4 linked regions of the Mus musculus genome follow. The protein of the gene in region 2 purifies or fractionates together with the protein of the main gene of each other region. This does not show direct contact. Links are inferred from orthologs where the notes say so. Each region holds a gene or a part of one and is shown on either strand. Other genes may lie near its edges.

Region 1 (7,189 bases), on a different chromosome or scaffold from region 2:
TGTGTGCAGAGTCTGTAGCGGTATCAGACCTTCTGCAACTAGAGTTAACAGACCCCTTGTTGTCTCGTGTGCTCTAGGAACCAAACTCCTGTCCTTTGCCAGAGCAACAAGTGCTCTCAGCCACAGCTCCGCCTTTTGAGTCCTTCTACCTTATTTTATAAGACCAGGTCTCTCAGTGACCCTGGAGCTCATTGATATTGCTAGACTGGCAGGCAAGCATCTATTTGCCCAGTCCTGAGGTTATAGGTAAATGCTATGCCGCCTAGGTTTTTGGGGGGTTTTTCGTTTTTTTGTTGTTGTTGTTGTTCTTTTTTCACAAATGCTACAAATCAAACTCAAGTACTTTACTGACTGAGCCAACTCCTCAGTCCCAGAACTGTTTTTTTGTTTTGTTTTTTGGGTTTGTTTTTGGTTTGTTGTTGTTGTTGTTGTTTTGGTGTTTTGTTTGTTTGTTTTTTCCTGGAACTCACTCTGTAGACCAGGCTGGCCTCGAACTCAGAAATCTGCCTGCCTCTGCCTCCCAAGTGCTGCTCCACCACTGCCCAGAAGAACTGGTTTTACTAAAATAAAATTACTATGCAGACCCCAATGTAAATGTAGGTAAATACAATAAAGTCAGCCCTCTCAATCTATGGGTTCTGTATCCAGATTCAACCATTAACAGATCAAAAAATAATCAGGAAAAACTACTGTATCTGTATTGAACATCTAAGAACTTTTCTCGGCATGAGTCGCTGATCAGTTGAGTGTAACACACAGCATTTACATCATATTAGATATAAGTAAGCAGACAAGAAGATGTGCATAGTGACTTCAGTGCCCTTGGATTTGAGCATCCAAAAGGGAACCTGGAGTCATTCTCCCAGGGATACAAAAGCATGCCTTGACTGAGAAGTGGCTTTTATCTAGGAGCAAGCTTTGCTTACAAAGGAATGGTTTTGACAGTCTCAGGGCAGGTGTGCTGCTGCCATCTAGTGGTCAGCAGCCAGAACTGCTGCTGAACAGCACAGAAATCCAGCAAAATTGTCAACACTGTTAGGATTGAATAATCCAACTAGAAACCTGATAAGTTAGCATTTACACCTTCAACTTTTTAATTCATCTAAAAGACAATGTGGGTGAACACAGGCGTTTCAAGTCAGGTGGGGAATAACCATAGTGTTGGTCAAGCTGACACTTGGCTGTTTTTGTGCTCTGTGTGTAACACTGAGAGTCTTAATTTGTACAGCTAAGAGGTTGCAAAAGGAATGGTGTTTGTTGTTGTTCTTGTTGTTCTTGTTACTCCATAGCTCAGCCTTGGGCTAATATTCAATCTAGCTGCATGAAGCCAAATCAATTTAGGTACTAAAATCAACCCCGCCCGGTGTCTTGAGCGTGTTATTAGCTCACCCTGGGGAGAGGTAATTTACTTATTATGTTTAAAAAGATGTGAACCAAACATCTTGAAATGCATCCTAACACTTAGGTTGTATTTGGAAACTGTTTGTCTGGGGCTTGAGAAGAAGAAAGATCTGTCAGGCTAACATAATTGGTCTTCATGAGTGGTCTGAGATCTACATTTGAACCATTGTCATTGCAGGTGCCTGTCTTCAGACAGAGAGGCAGAGTAGACCTGTAAAACTGCAGCCATGTCTTGATTTCCTATCACTCCTTATGCGGTACTTCGACATTTTTCCCTTTAAACACTTTATATTCTTATAGAATAATTATATGGCTATTCTCAGAAATCAAGATGATATAAAAATACACAGAGCAAAACAGACACACCACGAGCAGACTTCCTGAATGCTATGAATGAAGCTAGAATGGAGGGAAGAGAGTAAGGCGGAGTGGGTAGGTCGCCTGTAGCAAGAAGGGACTGCCTTTGTATAGAACGGCCAGGGAGGACCTCTGATCCTATAAACACCTGAATACATAGAGGTTTGTGGAAGGACATTCTGGTGCAAGATGTGGTGACCAAAGAGAAGACCTCTTATCTAAATGAGAAATACGTAGGCGCTTGTGGGAGAACATTCTGGAGCAAAGGACCATGGGTACAAAGGCCTTTGGTGTGGGAGCTAACCTATGAGGTGGAGCAAAGGACCATGGGTACAAAGGCCTTTGGTATGAGGTGGTAGCAGAGGTAAGGCCGCCAACACAGTAGGAAGGAGCTGTGGCTATGCTGAGCGAGGCAGTGCTGTGACCTGACCTACCCTTGAAACTATGCACTCTGGTGCCACATTGAGAAAAGGCTGGAGGTGGGGGTGTTGGGGGAGGGGCAAACAGGGAGGACAGTTAGGAAACTAGGGTGGTAATGGCTGAGGTGCTAAGAAAAAGGATCAGATCTGAGCACATTTGGGACTGGCATAACAGGATTTGGTGACAGCAGACTGGGTATGAAGAGGAAGTAACACAGTTAACTGTGATCTCATGATCTCCAAAGTTTGGCCTAAGACACTGAACCCATGACATTATCAGGTGCTGTGCAGTTTAGGACAGGGACAGAGCCAGGGCAGGAACGGACTGTTTTAGACATAAATCTGGGTGAGTGCCACATAGCCAAATCAGTATGTTGAGAAAGATTTGAAAATACAAAACTAATATAGAGGAAATGTGACCACAGATACATCTATGAGAGTAATCACTCAAACATTACGTGGAGGTATCTATTTTAAATCAGTTACATTTTAAAAATTTGTTTTCCATTTAAAAAGTACCTCAGTTTATGTCACTGTCACCCTCCTACAATTTCTGCACAGTGTATAATCCCAGTGCTCGCTCTAGTGGCAGGCAGGTCACAGCCTGGCATGGTCCCTTCAACCCTTTCCTTTTCTCTACTTGTAGGAGGTTGTGTGTTTTGGTGAAGATTACAGTGCACTTTGTGTGTATTTTGTTTTGTTTTTCATGCAAAACCTTTCCTGGCATTTGTTTTCCACTTACTTGTTTTGGAAAGCGGAGGCTCTCAGGGAATGTATCATGGCCAATGCATGATGATCAGAGGCCTTGCTGGAGTCTGTTTCTCCTTCCACACCGCACTTGTGAGGCCTGATGGCTAGTGCTTCTGCTGAGAGCATCTAGGCAGCTATTTCACTAGTATCTCTTGCTCCACCCTTCTGCAGATGTTTATGCTCTTGATGTATTGTTTATCCTTTTTATGTTTTTTTTTTGTTTGTTTTTTTCGAGACAGGTTTTCTCTGTTTAGCCCTGGCTGTCCTGGAACTCACTTTGTAGACCAGGCTGGCCTCGAACTCAGAGATCCGCCTGCCTCTGCCTCCCAAGTGCTGGGATTAAAGGCACGTGCCACCACCACCCGGCCCGTATTGTTTATCCTTAAGACTATTAATCTATTTAGCTTATGTCAAACACACCATTTTTCCGACACTTCTATATGATTAGCATGGCAGAGCTTTGTTTTATTTTTGAGGCAGAGTGTGACTATCTAGCTCTGGTTGGCCTAGAACTGGCTATGTAGTCTAGACTGGTCCACCGTATGCAGCAGTTCTTCAGCCTCTGCCTCTCTGCCCTGGGATTACAGGTGGCTTTTCTTTGTGTGGACACTCTCTACCTAACCCGAGAGTCCGCAAGTAATTCATTGAAAGTTGCATTTATAACCCAAACATATATGGAATTTACTGGGTTGTAATCTGAGTTGGAAACTCATTCTTACAGTTATGGCAGGACAATTTTTTAATAAGTGTCCATGATTCCCCTCACTGAGCTGAAGAGACCTCCTGGTAAGCTGCTGTTTGCCTTTATGGACTGGCATTTGGTTCTATTGGGGTTTGTCTTTCTGTTTTCTGTTATGAATTGGGATTTCCTGGTCTTTCCAGCCAGTTACTTTGCTACATAAAGAGTTGTAATCCAGGGGTTCCCACAGTTCCTTTAACATTTACGGCAGATTCCCAGGTGCTCTCCTGGATGCCCTCGGCAGGAAACTTCTATGTTGGGACAGTCCTGTGTAATGTCAAACTTCTCTATCTGCCTGCCTCAGATGCCCCATACGTCCTCCTCCTGCCTTGTTTAACAGTGACCATGACCATGACATCTGTTTGCCTTTTTCTAGATCTTTGTACCATAATTAAACGATGCCCCAACCTCATCCGCCTCGACTTAAGGTACTGTTTTAGATCAAACTTTGGAGTACATTGGCTGTTTGTGAACTGGGGGAGGACCTAAAGCAGGGATTAAGCAGCAGTACTCTCGACCATCATGGTTTGACTCTTCCTTTCGGTTGCAGTGACAGTATCATGCTAAAGAATGACTGCTTTCCAGAATTTTTTCAACTCAACTACCTCCAACACCTCTCGCTCAGCCGGTGCTATGATATAATACCTGATACTCTACTGTAAGTATGATTTACATTTACGCTGGTGAAAAAGCACAGGCCAAAACTCGGTAGTAAAATCCATCTTTAGATGGATGAATACATGTTCAAAGCATGAACATTGATATTGATGTGCCACAAAATGCCCAGGAAAGAATATCGAAATAGTTCACAGAATGTCCAGTAATCCTGAATCGACTAAGCTTATTAACTAACTAACAGCTACTGTCTTAGAATGCTATCCTAGTGTCTGTGAAGGAGGCTTTTTCCTCTGGGGCACCCACAGAGAGCACGGAAGGCATGCCCAATGTGAGTGGGAAACATCTCCCATTCATTTTTAAAGCTCACAGGGAATTCCTGTAATCTAATGATGGGCATCTCGGATCGTAAGAAGAGGTGAGAAGAACTGGTCTATGAGAGCCTGATGTTATCTGAAAAGAGGGCATCTTATGTAGGTCCATGAAAGTTAAGAATCTCATGCAGGCATTGCTTACTTCATTCCAAAGTCTTCCTTACACCAAATAAAAGTGTACAGCAGTTTCACTGCAAACCACTAGGGCTTAGAACCTTGCACTCTCCCGGGTATACTGCAGAAGAGTCATCTGGCTTAGAGGAGAGTATGGTACTATTTATCCTACTATCAGAATGCCAGTTTTTAATTCTTCCTACCTAGAAATGGTGAATTTAAAAACAAATTATTTCTCAAATGAATGGATTAGATCAGTTTCAGTAATAAATGATCTATAAAGAATTCGGTAAAATTGGGAAGTCTGGTAATTATGTGACTAAACCAATCATTTTAACTAGTCTCATGTGTGTTGGCTAGCTAGTGTCCTGTTTAGAAAAACACTACCTAAAAAGGATGCAAATGTTGCAGCTCAAATTCACATGCATGGAACTCTGATACAAATCCCCAAATGCAGAATTCTAGCATCCACAACTCCTAGGATCTTCTAGTGTCTTTGAGGTGAGGAACACATCAGAAGTTCTTAATAGAAATACCAGTGTGTCTCAAGGACACTGTCCACACAGCAGCCGGAAACACACTGAAAAATAGCTCATGTCCTATCTCAGAGATGGGAAGGGGCAAGGCCTGACTTAGTGTCTTTTTATTGTTTTTGAGATCAAGTCTCACCATTCATTCCCTAAGCTGGCCTATGATCCAGCCTCAGCCTCTTGTATGATGACTGCCTTTTCATTAAACTTGAACTAAGAGCCCTAAAAGATGCTATCTTAACTATTTTACACAGATTAAAGAGCATCCTGTAAACGTATCCTGTTCCTCTCATGCTGAAAAGTCAGACGCCCCTGACTGGTTTTCCGGCATTGTAGCCAATGCACACAAGAGGCAGTGATGGGTTTTTGTGGTGGGGTCTCATCCTGCCTCCTGCATGGATGGCCAGGAGGCGCCTCCCAGAGCTGCTGCACGAAGCTCCCTCTGCCATCTGCCAACACTCGCTTTTCCTTACTCCCACCGAGCTTCTTCTTTTAAATATTATCCACCATAGATGACAAAGAGCTTGGCTGCCTGGATATCCCAGAACCTGAATTCTCCCAAGTGTCCCCATTCTCAGATGTCACATAGGAGTTGTACTAGGGACTGCTCTCCTCTTTAGTGGTGATGGGTGTAACCTCGTCTACAGTGCATGGCAGTTCTTTGTTTGTTTCTACATTCCAGAAGTTCAAAGATGGAATGTGTTCCTCTTCTGTTTTGATCTCTTGTGACCTCCTGAACTCGATGCCCCTTATAAGCCAACACATTTCATTTCTACGTCCTGCTTCTATTTACCAACTTACTCTGCATCTTGTACCCCACCACATGCAGTAGACAGTGTGGTGCTTACCTCTACCATTCATACACTAGAGGGGTAATGGGATGACCATGGAGCCTCGGCACAGATGGGCCTCAGATCTAACAAACCATCTGCTTTCAGCCATTCAGGGGGCATCAGTGCAGACAGGTGAGTAGCATGGACACTGTATAGAATATGCTGGAAGGCTGAGCCATTGGCAGCCAAGTGACAATACAAACCGGCTTTATTTGACTACATATTGACTGTGACAACATAAAGGTCACTGCTGTGCTCACTGATCCCCTGGGGGGGTGGGGATGGGGGTTGCTGAATTTCCAAAATAAACATTCCCTGTCCTTCGACTTTGCACTATGTCCCAACCTAGAACAAACACAGACCAGGGAGATGAAGCTGGGCATACAGACCTGTTTAAAAAGAATCGGCACCAAAACCCAGAAAGTGTTTTCTTTAGATAATCAGGGTCACGTTTGTGTGACCCTCAGATCTCACCGATAACAAAACTGTATATCGGGTAACATGAAATGTATACAAAAAAGGCCTGTCTACCAGTAATAGGGGAAAAATATGGAAAGAAAAGGTCATTGTCTGCTGTAAGTTGGTATCCCAGATTTTTATATGTAGCCTGTGTAATCCCATGTAGAGAACACCTTAAGGAAGTCACTGGTGGGTTTCGGTGAAGCAAGGCCTCGGTGAACCATTGTTAAGCCGCCATCAGGTCTGTGGGTGGCCTCTGTTGAGAGTGCATAGTTCAAAGAAAGATCATGGCCAGATACCTAACTTCCATGTGTTACATCACAGTGAAATGTTGACCATGTCTGGCTTGCTAGCTCCCGTATCACAGCAGACCTTCCAGAGAGCTATGTGGACTAAGAAAGGTGGCAAATTCCAGCTCAATTTAAAAAATTAAATAAATAAAAATGAAATAAAAAATTAAAACTACATAGTTCCACGGGAGCCGCCCTGAATGAAACGCACAGGCTTGGTTCTGGACCCAAAGGTCGGGTCAGGTCTGGACCCTCACGGCGGGTCAGGCTGCTTTATATCCCCGCTTTTTTTCCCCCTGGATTATTTC
Region 2 (7,972 bases):
GATGTTACTCTGTAGCCAAGACTTGCCTCAGCCTCCTGAGTATCAGAATAGCAGGCAACAAGGCCACCACACCCAGGAGGAATTGGTACCATTCCTATGTGCCAATTAAAAATGAAATGTCTATTGAAAACTTTTACTGAACTAAGTATTGGAGAGGGGAAGGGTAAATAGGATTTTTTTTTCTTTTTAAATTTTAGGAATGTATGTGTGCACACACACACATGGATATGTGCTTAGGAATGTGTGTGTACACACACATGGATGTGTGCCATAGCACATACACAGAAACCAGAAGACAGCTCAACTGAGTGGTTTCCGTCTGGGGGTTGAACAAGGGCCCCAAGCTTGTGTAGAACACACCTTTACCTGCTGAGCCATCTTGCTGGACCTAAACATGATTTTTAAAGATTAGAAGTTTTTGTTGTTATTTATCTATCGTGTGTGTGTGTGTGTGTGTGTGTGTGTGTGTGTGTGTGTGTGTGTGCATACATGAATTCCATGGCTCACAAATGGGGGTCAGAAGACAACCTGTTAGCCAGTCACCTCCTTCCACATAGGCCCCAGGAATCAAACTCAGGTTGTCCAGCTTGGCAGCAAATGTCTTTATCCACTGCCATCCCATGCCAGCCTCCTAAATAGGATATTTTATATGATACTATGAGACAGTAATAAAAAGACCCAAATCAACTGAGGAAAATTTTTCATATCATCATCTTTTAAACTGAAATTCAATGCCAAATTTTCTCCCTCCCCCTTTCCCTTCCCCTCTTCCTCCCCATTCCCTCCCCACTTCCCCTCCTCCCCCTTCCCTCCCCCTTTCCCCTTCCCCTCCCCTTCTCCTCCCCTTTCCCCTCCCCCCCCCTCTCTGTTAGCTAGTTTGTTTGCAGTGCTTAAGATGAATCTAGGCCTTCTGGAGTGCTAGGCAACTGATCTACACTTGAACTACATCTAAACCCCTGTAAGGAAATTCTCCAATGTGTCCTTGGAGACATGTGAAACACGATCATATCAGCATGGCTTGTATTATACAGCCCACAGATAACGTGCATTCATCAATGGCTGTGGATAGGCTACAGCACATGTCACAACAGGCTGAATCTCAGAAGCCAAATATTTACTCAAGGGAGCTAGAGAGATGACCTAGCCTCAAGAGTACTTGCTGCTCTTACAGAGAACCCAGGACCCACATGGCAACTCAGAATTCCAGCTCTAGGGTCTCTGAGGGTCCTGTTCTGTGTGATGCACACACATATGCAGGCAAACCCTGGGGCACATAAATCAAAAGTAAATAAATCTTTTAAAAACAAAATATCTGCTCAGAACAGCCAATCACAGGACTGGGGAGATGACTCAGTCTGTAACCTGAGTCTGACCCCCTAGAACTCACATAAAAAAACCAGTTGTGCACACCTGCATATAGTCTCCAGGATAGGAGAGCCTGTCTCAAAAAACAATATAGAAAGCTACTGAGGAACTACACTGAAGGTGACCTCAGGCCTTCACGCATACATCCACAGAGACACAAACACACACAAATATTCATACGCACACTCACACACATCACTACCACCACCACCACGAGAAAAATTTGGAAAACATTATTTGATTTCTTACTATATATTCAAACTTAATGTCAATGGAAAATTGTCAATACTTGTGTATGGTAAAAATAAAATTCTAAATAGAAAGTAAAAATCAAATTTAGATAACTACTTTGTGGGGAGGCAAGGGTATGAGGCTGGAGGAAGGTGGGTTGTTGCTCGGAGGCAGTTTGCTTTGGTAGCAGAACAAATACGTGAGGTTTTGTTTACTGCTAATCAGTTCATTATCTGGAACTCAGAGTTAATAGCTAATGAACTAATGGACGGATGGACAGACAGATGGAACAGACATAGTCTAGCGTTGGCCTGAGGGAAGCAGCTCTCTCACTGGGCAGAGCACACACACAGCTCAGGCTTGGGTAGCAGAGCCAGCGCATGGAGGACAGGCAGGTAGGCAGAGCACCATGAGGAAGGAAGTGGAGATGTACGATGGTCGGGCAAGTGGGCAGACAGGATGAGGCTGAACCAGGCATACAGCTGCCAGCTCCGAGAACGCTGCATTCCCAAACTCATGCACTGATTCGAGGCATGCTGACTCCAAAGCAGAAGACTACCTCCATCCTTGCTGAAGCTTGCAATGAGGAGAGATGGTGGAAATAACCACCACAGGCTACAGAATCAGCAAGGGTCTTGAGAGCAAGAGCTAGCGAGCCAGTGACACAATACGGGAATTCTGGGTGGTGAGTCCCTCCCTAGCTGTTACACATTGGGGGTCTGGGGAGAGCAGTTCCCAGATAGAAATGCCCGATAAAATTCACAATGCCAGCAATATCTAAGTAGCCTGGTCTTCAAACCTTCTGAGACAAGCCCTGGTATTGAAATCCCCTGGCCTCAAACTTTTGCGCACAGGTGTTTTTAAATAGGATCTCACTATGTAGCTTAGGCTAGCCTCAGAGTCTCAGCAAAACTCCTGCCTCGGCCCCCTCCAATGCTGTGATTACAAGTGTGAGCTGAAACACCAGATCCAAACTCTACTCCCCCTGCCTCGTTCAGCCTTCCTAGGGCTAAAATCCCTGGGATTTCTAAAGGTATGAACTACTGCTCTGGGCGTTGCCTTCATTCTTAACAATCTGCTCGCCTCTTCTGAGCTATGGTGCTGTAACAGACAAAATCAGATCTCTCCAGAGGAAACCCAGACTAACACACTACTTGGGGCTCCTCTGGCCGGTGTGGGATGATATGCATTAGCCTGTCCTTAGACATGCCCTCAGCCTGGAGATGCTGATACACCTTTCATGTGCCCATTGGGGCTCTGGCCACAGCCCAGTCACATGATACACTCAATTGGGAGACAACGTGATTTTCTTCCTTATAAACATCATGTTGCGTAAAAGTGCCAAGACCATGAAGCACGGTTTTCCAGAGTGAAAAAAGAAGAAGAAAAAGAGAGAGAGAGAGCAAGCAAAAAGCTCTCTCTCTTTTTAAAGTCTTCTGCTAGTGCGTAGTGAGTCAGAAGGGAGCATACACCTCATCTGCTACGCCACTTTCTGCCCAGTTAGTTCTTATGAACAAAGGAGGTGACGGTATTCAAACACACAAAGGACACTTCACAGGAAACATTCTAAAAATGTTCTGAAATATTTGCCTCACTTTTTGAGTTAATTCTAAAGATATTAAGTATGAAGTTAAGTTGTAATTTTGAAACACCACAAACTTGGACTTCCAGGGGAGTTGGGGGAGGTTGTGTTTTTTTGTTTGTTTGGTTTTTGTTGTTGTTTTTTCTTAAAGGTATATTTAGCTTTCTTTACAGAAGATGGAAAAACAGGCCAGGGAACAGGTCTAAAGCACCCTGACTTATGATACTGGACAAAAATCTCTCCGGTTTCTCAGTCCGCTGGTTTCTATTTTAGGAGTTTCTCCTAACGTGTGACTGAGTATTTGCACAAGAGCATAAAAATGATATTTGTTGATAAAACGTCTATCCCAGGAAAAACAGGACCGAACCTAAATGTCCATGAATTATTTAACTAAATCCGCACTTCTCATACAACGCATCAGTTAAAATACTGGTCTAGAAAGGCACAGAACAAGAAGCAAGACACAGAGCAATGTTAAAGATATCCATTAGAAATGTTTCTGATAAAGTATACATAAAAATGATACTGAGTTGCAAATTAAGAGAAACAACTCTACACATCTGTCTGCATTGTTTGAATTTTTAACAAGCCACTTTGGTAATTACTTTTTTAAATTAAACATAAATCACGACTACAGTCTGAATAATATAAATGCTTGGGAAGCAAATCCATTGGCCCAGTATATACATGCCAAGAATACAGACCGCCACTATTTGCAGAACCCAAGGAAATTCCTAATCATCTGGAGATGTATAAGCAAAGTTCTGGCGGATAAAGGACACTTTCAAAGTTAGCCCCAAACTTGCCTCAAGCACGGAGTCAAGCCAAAGAGCGAAGACCGAGCAGCATCTGCAAAGGGCTACAGAAGAGGACGCGGCACCGCGGAGCAGAGCAGTCTTGCTGCCTCCCAGCCTCTCAGCTCAGGAGTGTCTGCTGTCCCCTAGGCACAGCCGCCCTGGCACTGCCGGCCAAGCCTTCTGCACGCCTGGCCACGCCCCCCTCACCGCCAAGCTTTCGTTTTCCCCTAGATCCAAAGGAAAGCGAAACTCAGGCACCGGGCGGGCGGGCGGAGCGGTTGTACGCGCCCCTACAGAACCCGCAGTCCAGTCGCCTACACCAGGACACGACAAGCCGGACCTGGCCCGGTAACTCCTGGATACGCTCTCTTTTTTCATCTGCAATGTTAAGATTGGAAATACTCCCAGTTGCTGTACCTTCTGCTCTGAAAGCCAGCAGCAGATAACTCCCTTGCTGAGGCTGTCCCCAGGGGGTAAGGAGACAGCGATAACATTTACTTCATCTCTGTTAATTGCCAGGCTTATCCTTAAACACTGAAGATAAGTTTATCTGCACAATGTTCTTTTGTGCCTCTACGTTTAACCCCAATTCTATAGGATAAAATGTTTTTATTTTATCAAAGAGGTTATGACTAACTCAGGACGACAAATGGCTAAGTGCTGAAAGCAACATTCTAACGGGACCTCTGACCAGTCCCACCATTTGTGGAAAATAGCAGACCATTGCAGTTAGCACACGAGGTGGCCATGAAGGTACAGCTCTGCGAGGAACAAATACAGTCTAAGCCGAGCCGGGTTTGGAGGCTCTGGGATGTACATACATGAAATGCTTGCTAGCTCTTTACAGATGTATCTTGTATATGAGGCTATAAGTTGAGGGAGAGGGGGATCTGTTAGCTGCTGGGCTAGTCAGAATGAGGTTTCCCCATGCGCTTGTTCTGAGAGGGGTCCTCCACTCCCTACCCCCAGCACTGGACAAAGATGACAGAGAGATACATACCCCTAATCGAAAGCTACCAGGACTTTATGAAATCTGGAAGAGTCTATATTCTGTTTTGCTATTGTAGTTCAACGTAAGATATACAAATATGTCTGCCTGCCTATAGTGTGTGTGTGTGTGTGTGTGTGTGTGTGTGTGTGTGTGTGTGTGTGTGTGTGTGTGTGAAGCATGAGTTATACACAGCTGTTGAAAATAAACCAAGATGTCCATGTTTGGAAATAGAAAGTGGGGTATGGCCCTCAGGGTAAAACAAAGTCTCTTGATCAGTGGTTGAGGTAGACAATGTGGCATCTGCACATATCATGGACAAATACATTAAGTCTCCAATACATTTGCAAATCAATCAATTATGTGACCAGCTTCTTCCTCTTCTTCTTCTTCTTCTTCTTCTTCTTCTTCTTCTCCTTCTTCTTCTTCTTCTATCTGTTTGGTTGTATCCAAAAACAGGAACATCAAAAACTGGTGGGGGGGGGGGGGAGGATGAAAAGAGGATGTTATAAAATGTGATAGTTTGATCAATATATCGTACCTGTAGAGTTCTAGGGAACAAACTGTATTTGTTCCCAGTGGTGATTAGCAAACAGCTCCTTATAGCCAAGCAACTTTTTTTTCCCAACCCTGCTTGTTCAGTGAAGCAAGTGATTGGCATTTGTACCAGTACGGAGTGGACTAGTGTCAATCATGGACAGGAGATACCTAGATGATGCAAGAACCCATTATAACTCCTAGTAGGACTCTCCATGCTCTTACCCCTGGTCTCTCCTTGCCTTTCAGAAAAGTTCAGGGCTCTAACCAGGTGGTAGACTGAGCTGGTAAGCATTCCTGAAGTAGATTCCAGCAGTGCCCCACAGTGACCCAGGATGGTGGTTTGGTGGAGAGACAATATGCCCACCACCCATGTCAGAACCTACTCTAGTTAGAGAATCCATTCATATATAGAGCAGATGTGGCTCGCCTGGGCCTCAGAGCCTAGAGAACTGGAGTGGGGTTCCATGTGTTGAGGAGACACGGGCAGGGTGAGGAATGGGTCCACGTGAGAGGGCACTGGTAGAGCTGAGAGACTAGTTATGCCCAGAAGCAGAATTAAGTGAGCAAATCCACAACAGTTTAGAACTGGTCACTTGCTTGAAATTGCCCCGGAATAGAGTTGAAGGTGAAGAATGGGACCCAAGACCTGCAGCTCTGGGTTCGCATAGATCCGTGGTTCTCGGTGAGTAGTTAGAGAGGGGTGCGTGTGTATGTGTGCGTACATTCCCTAGCTTGCCCCACTGAGAGTGCATGGATGGATGACACTCAGAGGCAACATGGCTTCTGGCTTCTAGTGGTTATTCTCAAACAAAAGAAACCAGAGATGCTTAGGGAGATGGTGTTTCCCGGATTGGGGCAAAGAAAAGCACAAGAGGAACCTAAGCAGACCCCTTTCTGCCGAAAGGCAAATGCTCAAAGAATAGGAGGGAAGTCAGAAGATGGTTTTCTGTACCAATGCAAGTGAATAATTGAGTAAACTGAGAGTGGGGGAGGCTTGGGTATTTTACACAGCGTCCAAGGACTTTCCCAGGAACACACACCAATGACCGGCAGCATCCCGCATGTCATGCTACGTTGTGGCTGCAGATAAAGCAAGTGGTGTAAACACTAAGTAGTCACAAAGCCAGCCGTGTCCTTCCCGCAGCAGTGGAGATCACTGGTGTCTGCACAGCTGCAGTCACTCCGAGGAACAGAATGTAACAGGATGTCGTGAACAGAAAGGGACACAGCTCCCTCCTGTTACTCTCCTGTCACCGACCTTTGCCCTGATTGCTTCCACAGAAACATCTGAGTAACCCCAAGTGACAGATGTTCTGCAAATCAGCTAGCTGTCTTCTAGTCGAGGTTATCAAAATCCAAGGTATGAGGAACAGCCCCTGAGCACGGTAGTGAAGGTAAACCACGTGCCCTGAACTGGATCTTTCCGCTGGAAAGGATGTTCGGGGGGCAGCTGAGAAAGCCTGAGTGGTAATAATTTCCCACTCTGGCATCAGAGAGAAGAAACATCATCTGGAAAGCGTACTCTGGCTGGGTGCGGTGGCACACATCGGCAATGCCCACACCTGGGAAGGAGAAGTAGGAAGGGAAGGCTGCTTCAAGTTAAAGGTCAGCCTGGTATACGACGTTAGACTTTGCCGCAGAAAGGAAAGAAGAAAGGAAAGAGGGAAAGAGAACCTGCCCTTTTAGGGGTACAGAAAAGGACATGAGTGCAGCTTTCCCATAGGTATTATATGCTTTCAAATTTTTAAATATTAAACAGAATTATGAGGTAATATATCTTTTTCTGAAGGCTGCTAATACAATTGGGGGGGTTGTTTATGTTTTTGGTTTTTGTTGTTGTTTTATTTTGTTTTCAGTGCCAGAGAGGAAAGAATTTAAGTTCAAACCACAATAATACTTGTTCCAAAAGTGAATTTGAGTCCCAGGAGCTTCTCCTGGCTGGTCCATTGGAGTGATGGACTGCCGACTTGGAGTGATGTCGGTGTTATTGGAATCCCCACTGGCAGAAGATCTAGCTTTTTGTAAAGTTAAATAACAGCACGAGAGGTCATGCCTAACCACCTCGCTCAAAAACTTGTCACAGAAGAAGTTGCTGACTGACCTGGTGAGACAGAGTAGTCTCTTCCCTGATGGGGAAAGTTACTTCAGAGACAAGTCACATCAGAGGCCAGGACAGCAACGTTCGTAAGAAGCGTAGACTCTGTAGCACGGAGAGGAAAGTTTGTTGTTTTAAGGAAAGCAACGGCTAATAAAGTTTTAGTAATTCTTTACCAAGGTCATTTCTGTATGTTCTATCTTGTGACACCACCACCACCACCACCCCCCCCCCCCCCCGTCTCCACAGCTCTTCTCTGCTTTCTTCTCTGAATGTTGATATTTTTGTACTCCAAATGTCTTTGGTTTGCATAGAGTCAAGAATAAATAATTATCTTTTTAAGTCTGTGAGTTTGATCTCCCTCAGCAGAGGTC
Region 3 (7,189 bases), on a different chromosome or scaffold from region 2:
TCTATCAGACATTTCAGCAACTTCGACAACTTGCCTTCCTGTGTTATCATCTAAGATCTGTTAACCTCAGTGTGTATATGAAGTAACTTATGACTCAAATGAGAATGGAGATTTCTTGAGGCCATGGGGTTCTCAGATAGGAGTGTGACCATTTTTATTTCAGATTATTTTGTGAAATTGATTTCTCACAGCAAAAGAGAGTTTATCATGTATTTATTTGCTCACATTTAGTTCCCCTGGTTTGAAGTTGAAAACTCAGAGTGAGTCGTCATTTCATCACTAGGTGGCACCTGAGGATCACAGATGGTCATGCTTACTCGACACAGTTACGACAAGTACAGAATCCACAAATACAAATAACACTCAGAGCAGACGTTCTTAATAATGCTAAGTACTGCTCGCCCTGATTAATCTGTGGGCACATGATTGAAGTGTATTGAATGTCTTAATGCTTTATAATCATTCCTTCATAGTTAATGATAATGTCTTTAGGCAGACTGATCCGTGTGTATCATCTAAGTTGATTATGACCATGAAGTTGAAATCTTGTAGGATCTGTTTGCTGCTAATTTCCTGTGAGAAAAATGAGTGCTCTGGCTCCTTGTATTAATTCAAACCCAACTCTGGGTGTTGTTTTATAATGTTTATGGAAGAGCCTGATTCTATAACCCCCTATTAGATACTCTTATCTCCATAGATATGAAGGAAAATAACTTAGGAACCCTATAGACACTCAGTAAGGAAAATAACTTAGGAACTCTATAGATACTCACTAAAGAAAATATAAACATCTATGCTTTACTGTCCAAAAAAAAAAGCTCAGATGTTAATTTACCTAACAGTGAGCAGGACACCTAACAGTAAGCTTGATTATAAAGACTGACATATTCAAACCAAAGCCAATTCCTAAATCTTCCTAAAGTAACTGGATGCTGAGCATGAATCACCAGTGCTGGATTCTTTTTGAGGCTTGGAAAACAAGATGGTCTCTGAATGGCCAAGACCAGGAAATGGAAAAAGTCTCCAAAAGAGCCAGGCTTACTTGGGACTTTGCATCTAAGCAGCCTTGTTACCTTTAAGCTGAGTATGAATTACCATAGCATGTGCTGGTAATGCTAAGCTGTAGGTTTCGGATCCTGCCTCGGAATACTTTCTTACTGTGTAATGTGACTAAATTGCATCCCTATGACTGCTTACCTTTCAAATGGAAATGGATTACTTGTGCTAATCTGGGGGAAAACACCACCAGAATGTGCTCATCTTGTGGTGAGCACTGACTGAGAAGTAGTTACACGCTTTACACAGCCTATGAAGTGGAACTGGAGCCTGACTAGCTAGTTCACGTACCCCAGGCTACAGCTCCTGCCCTAGTGTCTCCTCTTCCCTTTGGGAAGTGATCGACCCAGTGTAGATTTTGAAGAACAACTATTTGATCACGATCACTAGCTATGCCCAACTTTGTTGTTGAGTTTTATATAATAAGTTGTCTTAAGTGGACTCACACCTAAGGAGCACATAACTGATCCTAGTATATGAAGTGTGCCATACATGTTAGAACCACTGGTATTCTAGTGTTGGGTTGCCTACCATTAACTGTCCTGTACTGTTTGTTACCTGTGTACGGCTGAGAGAGTGAGTTGGCATGTTTAAAGCCATGTGCTTTACGTGTAACATGAGGAGAACATTAGCACCTCCTTGTGAGGCTTTATAAAGAGGGATGTGGGCAGAGCACTCTCTCAATGCCAACTAGCAAACAGTCTATAAAGATGTAATGAGTGGGGTGGACCTTTCCTTGAGGAAAGGACCTTGCCATAGCATTTAGCTACATAGAAGGTAGGAGATTGGAGATGAAGGTGCGAACCTAGTGCCCTTCACAGTAACAGTCTAATGGTTTTGATCTGACAGATACCACGCTAATTTTCATTTTTGCTTTTTAATGCTTTTAAAAATACTTGGATTTTTCTAAGTATTTTTTAAAATAGAGGAACTTGACAGAGCAGTGTGCCCATGTGATAGCCATTAGTTTTAGCAATAATGTGGCATATGGTTGGTCTGTATTTTTATAACTTTTTAAAAGTAATAAGCTAATTACCTATCATAAAGCTTACCCATGTGAAGTGTGATTTATTGATTTTTGTGAATTTACCCAGTTGTCAGCCATCACAGTCAACTTTCAAACACATCACCACCTTGGCAGGATACCGTTTACATTAATTCCTTTTTGATCCTTATCCCAAGGCAATCACTGACCTGCTTGCTGTCCCTAGATTTCTCCTGGGCATTTTATAAATGGGCATTGTAATATGAGGTATTGGGGTGGGGGTCATTGTGTAGACAGTAACACATTTTGCGTGTCCTTCATAGTGGGCCTTTTATATATATCTTTAGCCCTTTTCCTTCCATTTCTTACCCCCAATTAGAGTTATTTGAAAGCTGATTTTATTTTCTTTAAATAGTATATGTTCTTTTTCATTTTTATTTTTCTGAACCACTTCTCAATCATCTTTACTTTAATTTTCTACTGTGATTAAAAATTGCCTTATGTCTTCATGTATTTTTTGTGTTTCTGCTTTAGAATTAAGAGGTTCATTTCAAAGATTAAAACTGCATTTTATCTTCACTTTAATGAAAAACTCATTCTTAGCAAATTCAGATAATGGTGGTTTCTAAACCTTTGATGAGACTTAAAAACTGCCTCTATCATATTAAACTCTGCTTCTGATTTTTGGGGGTTTTCTATTTGTTTGTTTGTTAACTCAGGTTGTCGGAAGAGGAGCTTTTGGAGTAGTTTGCAAAGCTAAGTGGAGAGCAAAAGATGTCGCTATTAAACAGATAGAAAGTGAGTCTGAGAGGAAGGCTTTCATTGTGGAGGTAAGCTGAGACGTTATTTGTATCCACTAATTCTTCACCAGAGCTACTCTGATCTTAAGACTATAAAACACAGTGTTTCCCACCTTTCTTTTTTCTGTGTACATGGACGTTAGCAGTTGACTGAACTGAAAGTAGTGCCTCCATAGGAATGTTTTTCATTTTTTTGCTTTAAATTCTGGTTAAAAGTTATTAGGGGAAAGTATAGTTACAAGAGTCGCTCCATGAATTCAAGTGCACTTATCCACGGGTTCCAAATGTATCTCAAGGTTTCCTATCTTAATTTTAAAGTGGTATTATTCCTCCCAATACCTAAAGTTAAGAATTTCTTAGAATGTTATAGAAATAAACACCTTTCTAGTGAGAAACTACTCCACACACTTAGACTTATAAGAAAAAGCTCTTGACTGAAAGTGTGGCCAACTGTGGCTAGCACCCAAAGAGGGACCAACCTCAAATAAAAGATTTACTAACTTAATTCACTTTAGGCTTATGCATTCCACAGATTCTGTCATCCTTAAATCTCTTCTAGGTCCTGGCCCCGGGTTACACTTTAAAAAATATAAGTCAGGAGACTGTAAGTCTGGCCACTTACACAGATGAGAGATTTGCATAGTGCCAGAATTATTATTATAACCAGGGTTTTTTCTTTTCAAATGGTTGTTATCTAGGGTCTTCTTGCCCATCTGGCAGAATTATGTTTTTGTCAAGAAGAGAACAGGGGGCTTTATGCAGCCCAGGACTTAACTTTAGCTGTGACCTTGAGCTGCCCCTTACGCAGCCAGTTAGAGGCAAGTTCTTTGGGGGTGGCCAGTGAATCCTGGTGAGCAGACATTTACATGATAACAAAGTAGTTTAGCTCATCACCTTCTGTCTGGTTAGCAGACTACTTAGCTTTGGGGCATTTTGGAGGCAGCAATGCCTTAAAGTTTAGTCTGTGTGGTTGCTGTCTCCTAGAAAAATCTGTTAGTAAGCCCTTTATAACATCAGCTTTATTCGTTTTGAGTTTCTTCTACATAATGGGTTTTATGAAATTAACCATGTTGCTGCTCTTGTTTTCATTGCTTGGTTCTAGGTCTGCTGGGCCAGTTATTACTCATCACTAGCTTGTCAACTTCCAGATGGTATACTATTATCTCATTGCAGTCTCTTCATCCTCCTGAGTTTCTACCTCACAAACAACAACAAAACCTCACCTACTTATGAGACTCAGAGAAAACGGAAAAACATGCTTGAATAATGTGCTATGTGAAGTTAATGATGAGTTTTGTCAAGATGGAATGTTGATAGATAATAAATACATAATAGTAAAAAGTTACATGAAATAACATTTTAGAAAAGAGTCCGCTAATTTTCTAAGGATGAAAAGTCCATGAATATCAACTATAAAGAAAACTGTCCAGTGGCATATGATAAAAAAGAGGTTAAGTTATGGGACTGTGGAGAAAAGCAGGAGAGAGCAGGGGAAAGAGGGGGACGAGGGAGAGAGAAGGAGCAACATGATGTTGTATGAGAAAGACACAGTGCAGAAACTTGATACCTTACACTGGGGACCAGCCTCAGTGTAATTCCTGGCTTGGGGAAGGCTGAGACCGGAAGTTGGAGTGTCAGTCTGTCTCTCCTACCCCTGAAGCTCCTCTCCACTTTTTTGTACTGGGGATTGACTTGGGATATATGGTGGACTGGAGCTAAAGCCTAAGGCGTACTAGTCAAATGCTCCACAACTGAATGCCCCCCCCTTCCACTCACACGCACACGCACACACACACACACACACACACACACACACACACCAAGCTCTCTGCAGTAACTACAAGACAGGAAATGAAATTAGAGGCAACTAACTATTCAGACAGAGCATGTATTTCATGTCAGGTAAACAGAAGCTCAAATCTGACTATAGAATCTTTCACAGCTGCTTTATCCTCTCTGGAGCTTAACCTCAAGGGTCATATTAAAATGGAAGTAATAGGTCCTATCTTTCAGAGTCTGAACGCAGCAGGAATACATACAGAATAAGTAAATTGATACCTGTAGGAAAGTACCACACTTCTGGTGTGGGTGGCTCAGTCAGTACCATAACTGAGATGGTGCCTTGACTTTTGGCAGCTGGTTTCCTCAGTTTATCCTGGCTTGTTCTTAACTCCCATTACAGCACTTTGTGCATGGTTTAATGATCTCTCTGTCTTCATATATTTGATTATGTCTGTGTCCCCACTTGAACTGTAGGATAGGGATTCTACAGGCACTGGGGATTGCCACTGCCTGTGGCCATCGTGGTAACAGAACATACCTGGTATGATTTGAACAAATGTTCTATATAAGATTTGAACAGCACGGGTACATAGCACCTGAAAACCCAGCACTTCTTAAGGACCCATAATTTGTTGCAGCTCCGGCAGTTGTCACGTGTGAACCATCCTAACATTGTCAAGTTGTATGGAGCCTGCCTGAATCCAGTAAGTCCCTCTCCATCTCCTACAGGAAACAGTGGCAAGTGTGTCCGTTTATATGATTTATAAGGCTGTTTTCATCTGTTCCACTGTAGCTTTATTTCTGAAAATATTTTCTGCATTTCGTTTGCTTCAAGCCCTAACAAGACAGTATGTTGGTGTTGTCATCTCAGGTACCTATTAGCCTTGGCCACACCAACTTATAGTGCTCCTTTATCTTGAGTAAACATTTATTCTCAAAATAATTTAAATTCCAGAAAAAATGTAATTTGTTCTTCCAAATTTTTACCTTCCCCACTGATGGACCATGCGTGTAATTGTTGGCCAAGACAGATCACCTGACATTCCTGTGTTCCCACTCATCTGCCTTCCTTAGCTAACCTGACAGTGGTCAGTGAGGGCCAACAAAGGGGAACTTGTCAGTCCTTTCCTTTTCCTCTTTTCTGCCCTGTAACTGCCTACCTGTAAGCAGTCAGTGGGTTCTGCTTCTTCTACTATAGCCCATCTGAGTAAAGCCTGTGCTGTCGTGGAGTAGTGCATACCCCTCCTGTCCGTTCTCCTCACTAACCGAGGTAACCCATAACTCACCTCGTTGTAAGACTTGATGTCCTAGAACATAGCTTTATTAGCACTGGTCCTCAAAAGGTCTTATAATTCTTTTTCCCCAAAATTTTGTGATCTATTTTATAGATTAATATTCATTATAATATACTATATCATATATAACTATATATTATTACATTATAATATAATATATATGAGTTTTATATAATTATACTAATATATAACATAGTATTGTATTTTTATATTATAATAGATATTAATTTAGTGATATTATGTAATGTATAGTAATATTATGCTAATCTGAGCAGACACCTTGAAGACAAGTTCTTTGATCACAGATACCTGTACCTTCTGTTAGTGTCATTCACAGAGTAGGAGCCAAAAGAATAATTTTCAGGACAGTCAGGCAGTTAACTAAGTTTTCAGCAGGGAGGGCCTAACAATGTTGCCACTCCAGTAAATTCTGGCATATATTTTCTTTAGGTATGTCTTGTGATGGAATATGCAGAGGGGGGCTCATTGTATAATGGTGAGTATTCACTAACCCTGCTTTTACCTAGGAGACTGAAGCAATTGGAACGCTTTTAAGAACAACTAAATCACCTTATTGTTGTCACAGTTTACCTTCAGAGTTCTCAGAGGAAGTCATTGTGCTTTTTGGGTTTGTTCATTTGTTTGTTTTTGGTTTTGTTTTCACTGCTAAGGACTTAGGGCAAGAACGATGTATGACATTTATATACATTTTTAAGTTAACAATATATTATGTTCAAAGTTTGTGAAGTAACAGTTGTTTTTAAATACATATGTGTAGACTTTTTCCCACCCTTCTGTTTTTTAGTTTGAAGCCTTCATTTTAGAACTCTGGGCTATATTTCATATTACCGTGCTTTATAACGCTTCCTTTTCAAAACATAAAATGGCAAGAACAAACGTCACAGAACGTTTTAGATTTTTACTTTCCTATCGTGACCATGACCAAGGCAACTCAATAAGAGAGAGTTTAATCGGGCGTACGGTTTCAGAGGGTGGGGCTTTGTAGCAGCAAGCATGTGAGAAGGCATCGAGCACACTGGGCATGGCAGAGTCTTGAAATCTCAAAGCCCACCTCCACTGACATGCTTTCTCTAGCAAGGCCACACCGCCCAGTCCTTCCCAAACAGTGCCATCATATGGAGGCCAAATTTCCACACATGAGTCCATTGGGCCATTCTCATTCAAACTACCAGTGCTACCACACAAAACCTTCTGCACTGCTGGCATTACCCTTAAAATACCAACTTCATGTGTGTGTGACTTGTCCCTGA
Region 4 (7,189 bases), on a different chromosome or scaffold from region 2:
GCGTATGTATGTATACCACATGCATACCTGATACATGTGGGGGCCAGAAGAGAGGGTCAGATCCCCTGATGTTCCGTGGTTGTAAGCCACCTTGTGGGTGCCGAGTACTGAACCCAGGTGCTAGTCGAGGAACAGCCAGCTGCTCTTAACTGCTGAGCTGCCTCTCTAGCCCCAAGACTGTCACATAAGTGGGAACAACTACACGTAATAGATGCAAGAGGATGGTTAAAAGCAGAATTCTAAGCCGGGCGTGGTGGCACATGCCTTTAATCCCAGCACTCGGAAGGCATAGGCAGGTGGATTTCTGAGTTGAAGGCCAGCCTGGTCTACAAAATGAGTTCTAGGACAGCCAGGGCTATACAGAGAAACCCTGTCTCAAAAAAAAAAAAAAAAAAGAAAAAAAAAGAAAAAAGAAAAAAAAAAAGCAGAATTCTAGATATCATCCAAAATGATTTATAGATTTAATGCAATTTCTACCAAATGCCACTCTCCCCAGGAACAAACTTTATATGCACTCACAAAAAACCCTTAGTACAGCTGGAGGCTGGGCATGGTGACACATGTCTGTCATTCCAGCCCTTGGGAGGAAGAGGCAGGAGAATCAGATATTCAAAGATAGCCCTACAGCCATATAGTGTGTTTGAGATATATGAGACCCTGTTTCAAAACAACAGCTCACATAATAAAATAATACTAAGATATAGTAACCAAAATAGTACGGTACCAACATAAAATCAGACATATGGGCCAAGGAAACAGAATGTAGACCCAGAAATAAATCCATGAATCTAGAGCTAATTTTTTAATGAAGGTGACAAATATATACACACCACACACACACACACACACACACACACACACACGCACGCACGCACGCACGCGCGCACACACACACACACACACACACACACACACACGCACGCACACATACACACACAGAGTACAGTTTCCTCAATATACTGGAAATCCATCTGCAGAAGAATTAAACTAGATATGTATAATCTGCCACATATAAAAATCATGAAGCCAGAAAAATGGCTCATGAGGTAAAGGCAGCTACTACTAAACCCAACAATTCAAGTCCAATCCCAAGACCCACACCATAGAAAGTAGGAACCAACTCTTGCCAATTGTTCACTGACCTTTATACATGGGTTGTGGTACGCATACACATGTGTACACATACATACACACGTACAGAAATAAACAGGACTTAAAAATCAACACAGGGGGCTAGAGAGAAGGCTCGGGTATTGAGAGTGCACACTGAGTGGCATAACGTACGTAACATAAGTGCAGAGGACTCATGTTCAGTTCCCAGCACCCCTGTAAGGAGATTCACAACTGCCTGTAAGTCCAGCTCCAGGACCCCGGTCCTCTCAGAGCAGAGGACTCTGGTCCCATGGGTGCCTACCCGCCTATGTACATACCCCCCCACACACACACTGGTCCCACAGGTGCCTACACTCCTATGTACACCCCCCCACACACATATACATAATTAAAAAATACCTCTCACGCAGGGCATGGTGTCACACACACTTTTAATCTCAGCACCCGGGAGACAGAGGCAGGGAGACCTCTGTGGGTTAGAGACCAGCCTGGTCTACAGATCAAGTTCCAAGGCAGCCAGGGCTACATAGAGAAACCCTGTCTCTGCCTTGAAGAAAAAAACCAAAGAAACAAACAAAAACTCTTAAAGAAAAAAAGAAAACCTACCCAAAAGAGATCAAAGACCTAAACATAAAACTTGAAATTAGCCAGGCAGTGGTGGCACAGGCAGGCAGATTTCTGAGTTCGAGGCCAGCCTGGTCTACAGAGTGAGTTCCAGGACAGCCAGGGATACACAGAGAAACCCTGTCTCAGAAAAAAACCAACAAAACAAAACAAAACAACCTTGAAATTATAAAATTCTAAAAGAGGGCTGGAGAGATGGCTCAGCCATTAAGAGGACTGTCTGCTCTTCCAGAGATCCTGAGTTCAATTCCCAGCAACCACATGGTGGCTCACAACCATCTATAATGGGATCTGATGCCCTCTTCTGGTGTGTCTGAAGAGAGCAACTCTGTATTCATAAAAATAAAACAAATAAATCTTTTAAAAAAAGATATCTACCAGCCAGGTGTGGTGGCGTAGGCCTTTAATCCCAGCACTTGGGAGGCAGAGGCAGGCGGATTTCTGAGTTTGAGGCCAGCCTGGTCTACAATGTGAGTTCCAGGACAGCCAGGGCTACACAGAGAAACCCTGTCTAGGGAAAAAAAAGACAACTTAAAAAATAAAATTCTAAAAGAATGTCTAGGGGAAAAAAAAAGACAACTTAAAAAATAAAATTCTAAAAGAAAACCTTGCAGAGAATTCTGCTCTTGCAGAGGTCCTAAGTTCAATTTCCAGCACCGACATGGGACAGCTCACAACTGCCTATAACTGCAGACCCTGGAGATGGGAAGTCCTCTTCTACATACCACACACAGACACATATGTATTATTACAATAAAATAAATCTCAAAGGGAAAACCTTGCAACTGTGCTATAGACAATAACTTAGCCCTGAAAGCATACAAAATAAAAGCAGAAACCAGATCAACTGCAATTAAGTCAAACTAAGAAAGTTCACAGCAAAAGCAACAATCACCTGAGTTAACAGGCAACTTGCATGTGGGAAGTAACACTTCTAAACTATTCACTCAACCAAGACTTAATATCCAGGAGCTATAAGGAACTAGAAAACCCTCAACAGTAAAAAGGGAAATAAGTGGCTGGAGAAATGGCTCAGTGGTCAAGAGCACTGGCTGCTTTTGCAGAGGACTGGGGTTTGGTTCCCAGAACCTGCATGGAGGCTCACATCTTCTGTAACTCCAGTTCCAGGGGATCTGGTGACCACTACTTCTGGCCCCTGAGGGCACTCAAGGCATGTGGTGCACAGGCACGGAAGCCAAAGCCCTCCCACATATCGGTAAAAGTGAATATATCTTCAAAAAGCAAATAATCTTATTTACAAATGGCTCAAAGAGCTACTGTTTTTCTTTGAGACAGGGTCTCATTAATGTAACCCAGCCTGGTCTCAAATGCTCAATCCTCCTGCCTCATTTTCTCGTGTGCTGGATTACAGGCCCATGTTGCCACCCCTGGCTTGGGTTGAAGACCTGCACAGACATTCCTCAAAAGGAGGATACACACATGGCAAATGGTATGAAAAACAGGCGTTTAACTTATTATCGGGAAAATGCAAACCCACAGTGGGGTACTGTGTCACCGTTAGAATAGCTAATTAAATGAATCCCAATCCCAGGCGGAGCAAGCTTACTCCTATAACAATTCTAGCACTCAGAAGGCCAGGGCAGGAAGCCTGTCACATATTCAAGGCTAGTGAGGGATAGCTACATAATGAACTCCAGACAAGCCTGGGCTTCTTCCGAGTGTGATCCTATTTCAGAAAACAAACAAATGAAGGACAGAAAAAAAGAAATGGGGGTGTAAGCCCAGCACTTGGGGAGGCTGAGGAAGACCAGCCTCAGCGACATGAGACTTTGCATCAAACAAAGGAGTAAGCAACAAAGGTGGGTCAGCGGTTAAGAGCAGTACTGATGCTCTTTCAAGGTCCCAGGTTTGAATCCCAGCACCCACATGGCAGCCCCCAGACTTCTGTAATCCCAGGACCAGGGATTCTGACACCTTCTTCTGTCCTCCACTGCCACCAGACACAAAAGTGGTACACGTACATACATGCAGGCAAAACGTGCACACACGTAAATTGAAAAATAAGCCGGGCACTGGTGGCAAGTGCCTTACCTCTAGCACCTGAGAGGCAGAGGCAGGGAGACTAGGTGAGTTCAAGGCCAGCCTGATCTACATATCCTGTTCCAGGCCAATAGCTCTGTCTCAAACAGAACAACCACAAGAAAAGAAGTCGACCAACTGATTGACTGGTTGACTGATCTGACCAAGCCGTGTAACTTAAAAGACACTCACATGACCACCATTGCTGTTACCTACCCCAGTGGGTCCTCTAAAGGACCGAACAAAAAAAATTTTTTTTTTTTCAGAAAATCTATTACTGTCATCAGGAAAGGTCCCGTTAACAGGAACGGTTGTGATCATTACTATAAGGGAGACAGTGGAAAGACAGATGGCAGCAGGAAGCCATGAGAGAGGAGCAGCTCAAAGGGGGAAACACCAGAGGTTGGTGAGTTAGGGAGGGGGGAGAGGAGTGGGGAGCAACTGGAATTAGGCAGCTGGAAGCACTGTCAGCCAGAGAACTCCCAGTGAAGGGTTTGTGTCTCACCTGTTAGAGATCACAATGAGTTTATGTTTCAAATATTTCCTCTGTTCTTCAAAATTAACTGTGGGGAGACAGACAGGAGATGGGAGAGATCAATTTGCTGGTCACACAGGTCAGCGCTCCCCTATTGCAAGACGGTCCTGACAAGGTTACCTCCTTACTGCACACTCTGTATAGCCCTGTCCTGCGTGTGAAGGGAGGGAGCCGAATCTATCAATATCTGACAACACTTTCATTCTAGGAAGGATGTATGTTAAAGACCCCAACCTTTTTCCTGGTAGTAACACCCAAAAGCTTCGTCCCGAGGGATTCGGGGATAGAGGAAGCGGAGTGGGTTCTCGGGGATGTTCTCTTCGGCAAGAACCTGGTAGTGGCGGATGATCTCTGTCAGTGGGAGTGACTGTAACACTTCCTTGGTGTAGGGCTGCACTGAGTAGATTTCGACTTTATCTGAAGGACATAGTGTGGTAACATGAAGTGAGTGAGACTAGGCCCGGGGTTCCCAGACCAAACAGACACCGACCCCAAACAGACACCACCCCCACTCCAAGAGCGGACCTAGGGTCAGGGTGGGAGGGTCCGTATGGGGTGCCTGGCAGAAAGCAGACTGCAGGAATGGTACGGGGGAGGGTGCTGACCGTCATCCTGGTGCTCCACCCAAGAACAAGTAATGCCCCCTTCAGAAGTTTCACTGAAGCGCAGTAGGAAGGTGCCAGACAACATCTTCTTCAGCAGTCTGCGTTCCTGGTTGCGGCTCACAAAGCCCATGATGCGCCTGGAGCAGAGTAGACAGACTGAGGAGAGCACCCAGGTGAGGGGTGAGGAGATGGCTCTGCAGCGAAAGGTACCTCACGCCAGCCTGGTTGCCTGAGTTCAATCTCTAGGACCCACATGGTGGAAGGAGAGAACCGACCCCTGTAAGCTATACTCTGACCTCCACATGCACTCGGGTGTGCGCAGGCAGGCGCTCCCACGTGCACACACAGACAGACAGACAGACAGACACACAAAATAAATACATAAAAATATAATAGGGTTGGGCATAGGAGTGAATGCCTTTAATCCCAGCGCTTGGGAGGCAGAGGAAAGCGTAGACAGACAAATGTGGTCTACACAGCAAGATCCAGGACTGTCAGCCAGAGCCACATAATAGAGACATACTGACACACCTCCGCGCCTCCACTCGTGCCCCCCACCCCGCCCCCACAACTCTGTCCATTGATCGAGGAGTTCCCAATTTCTCTAAGCGTGTTTCCTCATGGAACTGAAGGTGGAAGTACTCCGCCACTCAGTGTGGTCAGAGGGGTTGCGCGAACAGAAGCACCCTGCAGGCTCCAGGCTCTGCAACACAGTGGATGCTTGACAAATTCAGACCACAACTGCTATTACTAATGGGGACTTGCACCGTATTGGGTTGGGTTTTTGTTTTTGTTTTTTTGTTGTTGGTTTTTTTTCTTTCCCTTGTGCCACCAGGGGGCGCCCAAAGTGCAGTCCTGAGCTCAGTTAAGGAAATCGACGCCAGGCCTTACCCATCCTTCCAGAGATCCTTCAGGTGGTCGTGCACCAGCTCCAGAATTTTGTCCAGCCAGGTCCAGAAAGGGATCTTACCAGGGGGGCTCTCTCGCTGAAGGAGGAACAGAGAGGCAGGAAGGGATGTGGAGCTGCCCGTGGTGGGGGGAAGGGAAGAGGTGTGCCCAGTGTTTGGACCGGGGACTAGCGGGACACAGGCTGCAGGGTGTTACCTTGCAAAAGTCTACCCAGGACAACAGCGCATCCTCCATCTTGCAGCTCTTTCCTGTGGATCAGAGTCACAGACGGATGACTGAAGGAGGCCAAGGCCAGGCAGAGGACTCTGGTAGGGGCAAGCCAAGGCTAGGGAATGACCAAAAAGAAAAACCGTACCAAACAGCTTGGTTCTCAGCATGCCCAGCTGCTCAGAATCGAGGCCTCGGCCAACGTAAGAGGAGAACTGCCAGCTGAGCACAGGTCCCAGCAAACTCCAGGGGGCTTTCGGAGCTTGGCAGAAGAACTGCTGGTTCTGCAGGGTTCAGGTGAGCCGGCTCAGAAGCAGCCCTTCCTGCGACCTCTGCCCCTCACCCGCTCGCCGCCTCCGCTGCTGCCGCCTCCTCCTCCTCCTACCTTGGGATTTGGGCTGAGCATGTTGAACCAGAGAATGGAGGCCCAGGCAATGGAGAGTTGGTTCATGTTAGAAATAATCACAACAGGGAGAGTGTCCGTCTGGGAGGAAGACCGGAGTTATGGTGGAGAACGGGATGTTTATAACTGCAGGCATCTGCGTCCGTGCGTGGGCAAGGACACCCACTCCAGGACGCTTCTGTTGGTGCCCTCCTTGACCCTTCCTCTAAATCTGCTGCCTCTCTCGCTCCCCGCTTCCCGTCACTCACCTGCAGCTTCATCTTCAGACCCTGGTACACGTACTCAACCACGAAGCTGATGACATGTAACTCCTCTGTCACTGCCAGCGGCCCCTGAGGGGTCACAGTGATCAGAGCCTGTTGAGTCCCTGGCCTCAGCTCACCGCTCCAGTGACCCGCCAGCCTTACCTTGTTGCCCTTTCCTGCACCCACAGCGCGTTGCTCCACCAGAGTCTGCGAATTCAGGAAACACAACGTCAGGGAAGGGACCCAGAGGCCAAGGCCTGGAAATGCCCCAGCTCCTGCTCCTCCGGATTAGACTCCAATTTTTTTTTAGTTTGTTTGTTTTTGTTTTGTTTTAGTTTTGGTTTTGGTTTTTCGAGACAGGGTTTCTCTGTGTAGCCCTGGCTGTCCTGGAAATCACTCTGTAGACCGGGCTGGCCTCAAACTCAGAAATCCGCCTGCCTCTGCCTCCCAAGTGCTGGGATTAAAGGCGTGCGCCACCACGCCCGGCTTAGACTCCAATTCTTACCCT

The links.
Region 1: the proteins of Usp18 (region 2) and Skp2 purify together in Homo sapiens (affinity purification with western blotting; 4 studies listed by BioGRID and IntAct, with this or other methods). This does not show direct contact. The link is inferred for Mus musculus from reciprocal best matches to the Homo sapiens genes USP18 and SKP2.
Region 3: the proteins of Usp18 (region 2) and Map3k7 purify together in Homo sapiens (affinity purification with western blotting; 4 studies listed by BioGRID, with this or other methods). This does not show direct contact. The link is inferred for Mus musculus from reciprocal best matches to the Homo sapiens genes USP18 and MAP3K7.
Region 4: the proteins of Usp18 (region 2) and Stat2 purify together in Homo sapiens (affinity purification with western blotting; 6 studies listed by BioGRID and IntAct, with this or other methods). This does not show direct contact. The link is inferred for Mus musculus from reciprocal best matches to the Homo sapiens genes USP18 and STAT2.

The regions. Positions count from the first base shown.
Region 1 is NC_000081.6:9,113,996-9,121,184, reverse strand, and holds part of Skp2 (S-phase kinase-associated protein 2), read left to right. Parts: intron 1-4,042; coding exon 4,043-4,094; intron 4,095-4,216; coding exon 4,217-4,324; intron 4,325-7,189. UniProt on the Homo sapiens protein: Substrate recognition component of a SCF (SKP1-CUL1-F-box protein) E3 ubiquitin-protein ligase complex which mediates the ubiquitination and subsequent proteasomal degradation of target proteins involved in cell cycle progression, signal transduction and transcription.
Region 2 is NC_000072.6:121,242,075-121,250,046, reverse strand, and holds the start of Usp18 (ubl carboxyl-terminal hydrolase 18), read right to left. Parts: upstream 4,142-7,972; 5' UTR 3,985-4,141; intron 1-3,984. UniProt on the Homo sapiens protein: Interferon-induced ISG15-specific protease that plays a crucial role for maintaining a proper balance of ISG15-conjugated proteins in cells. Regulates protein ISGylation by efficiently cleaving ISG15 conjugates linked via isopeptide bonds.
Region 3 is NC_000070.6:31,972,063-31,979,251, forward strand, and holds part of Map3k7 (mitogen-activated protein kinase kinase kinase 7), read left to right. Parts: intron 1-2,760; coding exon 2,761-2,871; intron 2,872-5,261; coding exon 5,262-5,327; intron 5,328-6,368; coding exon 6,369-6,414; intron 6,415-7,189. UniProt on the Homo sapiens protein: Serine/threonine kinase which acts as an essential component of the MAP kinase signal transduction pathway. Plays an important role in the cascades of cellular responses evoked by changes in the environment.
Region 4 is NC_000076.6:128,282,812-128,290,000, reverse strand, and holds part of Stat2 (signal transducer and activator of transcription 2), read right to left. Parts: intron 6,889-7,189; coding exon 6,844-6,888; intron 6,769-6,843; coding exon 6,685-6,768; intron 6,518-6,684; coding exon 6,419-6,517; intron 6,318-6,418; coding exon 6,182-6,317; intron 6,075-6,181; coding exon 6,022-6,074; intron 5,904-6,021; coding exon 5,809-5,903; intron 5,055-5,808; coding exon 4,918-5,054; intron 4,730-4,917; coding exon 4,547-4,729; intron 4,341-4,546; coding exon 4,283-4,340; intron 1-4,282. UniProt on the Homo sapiens protein: Signal transducer and activator of transcription that mediates signaling by type I interferons (IFN-alpha and IFN-beta).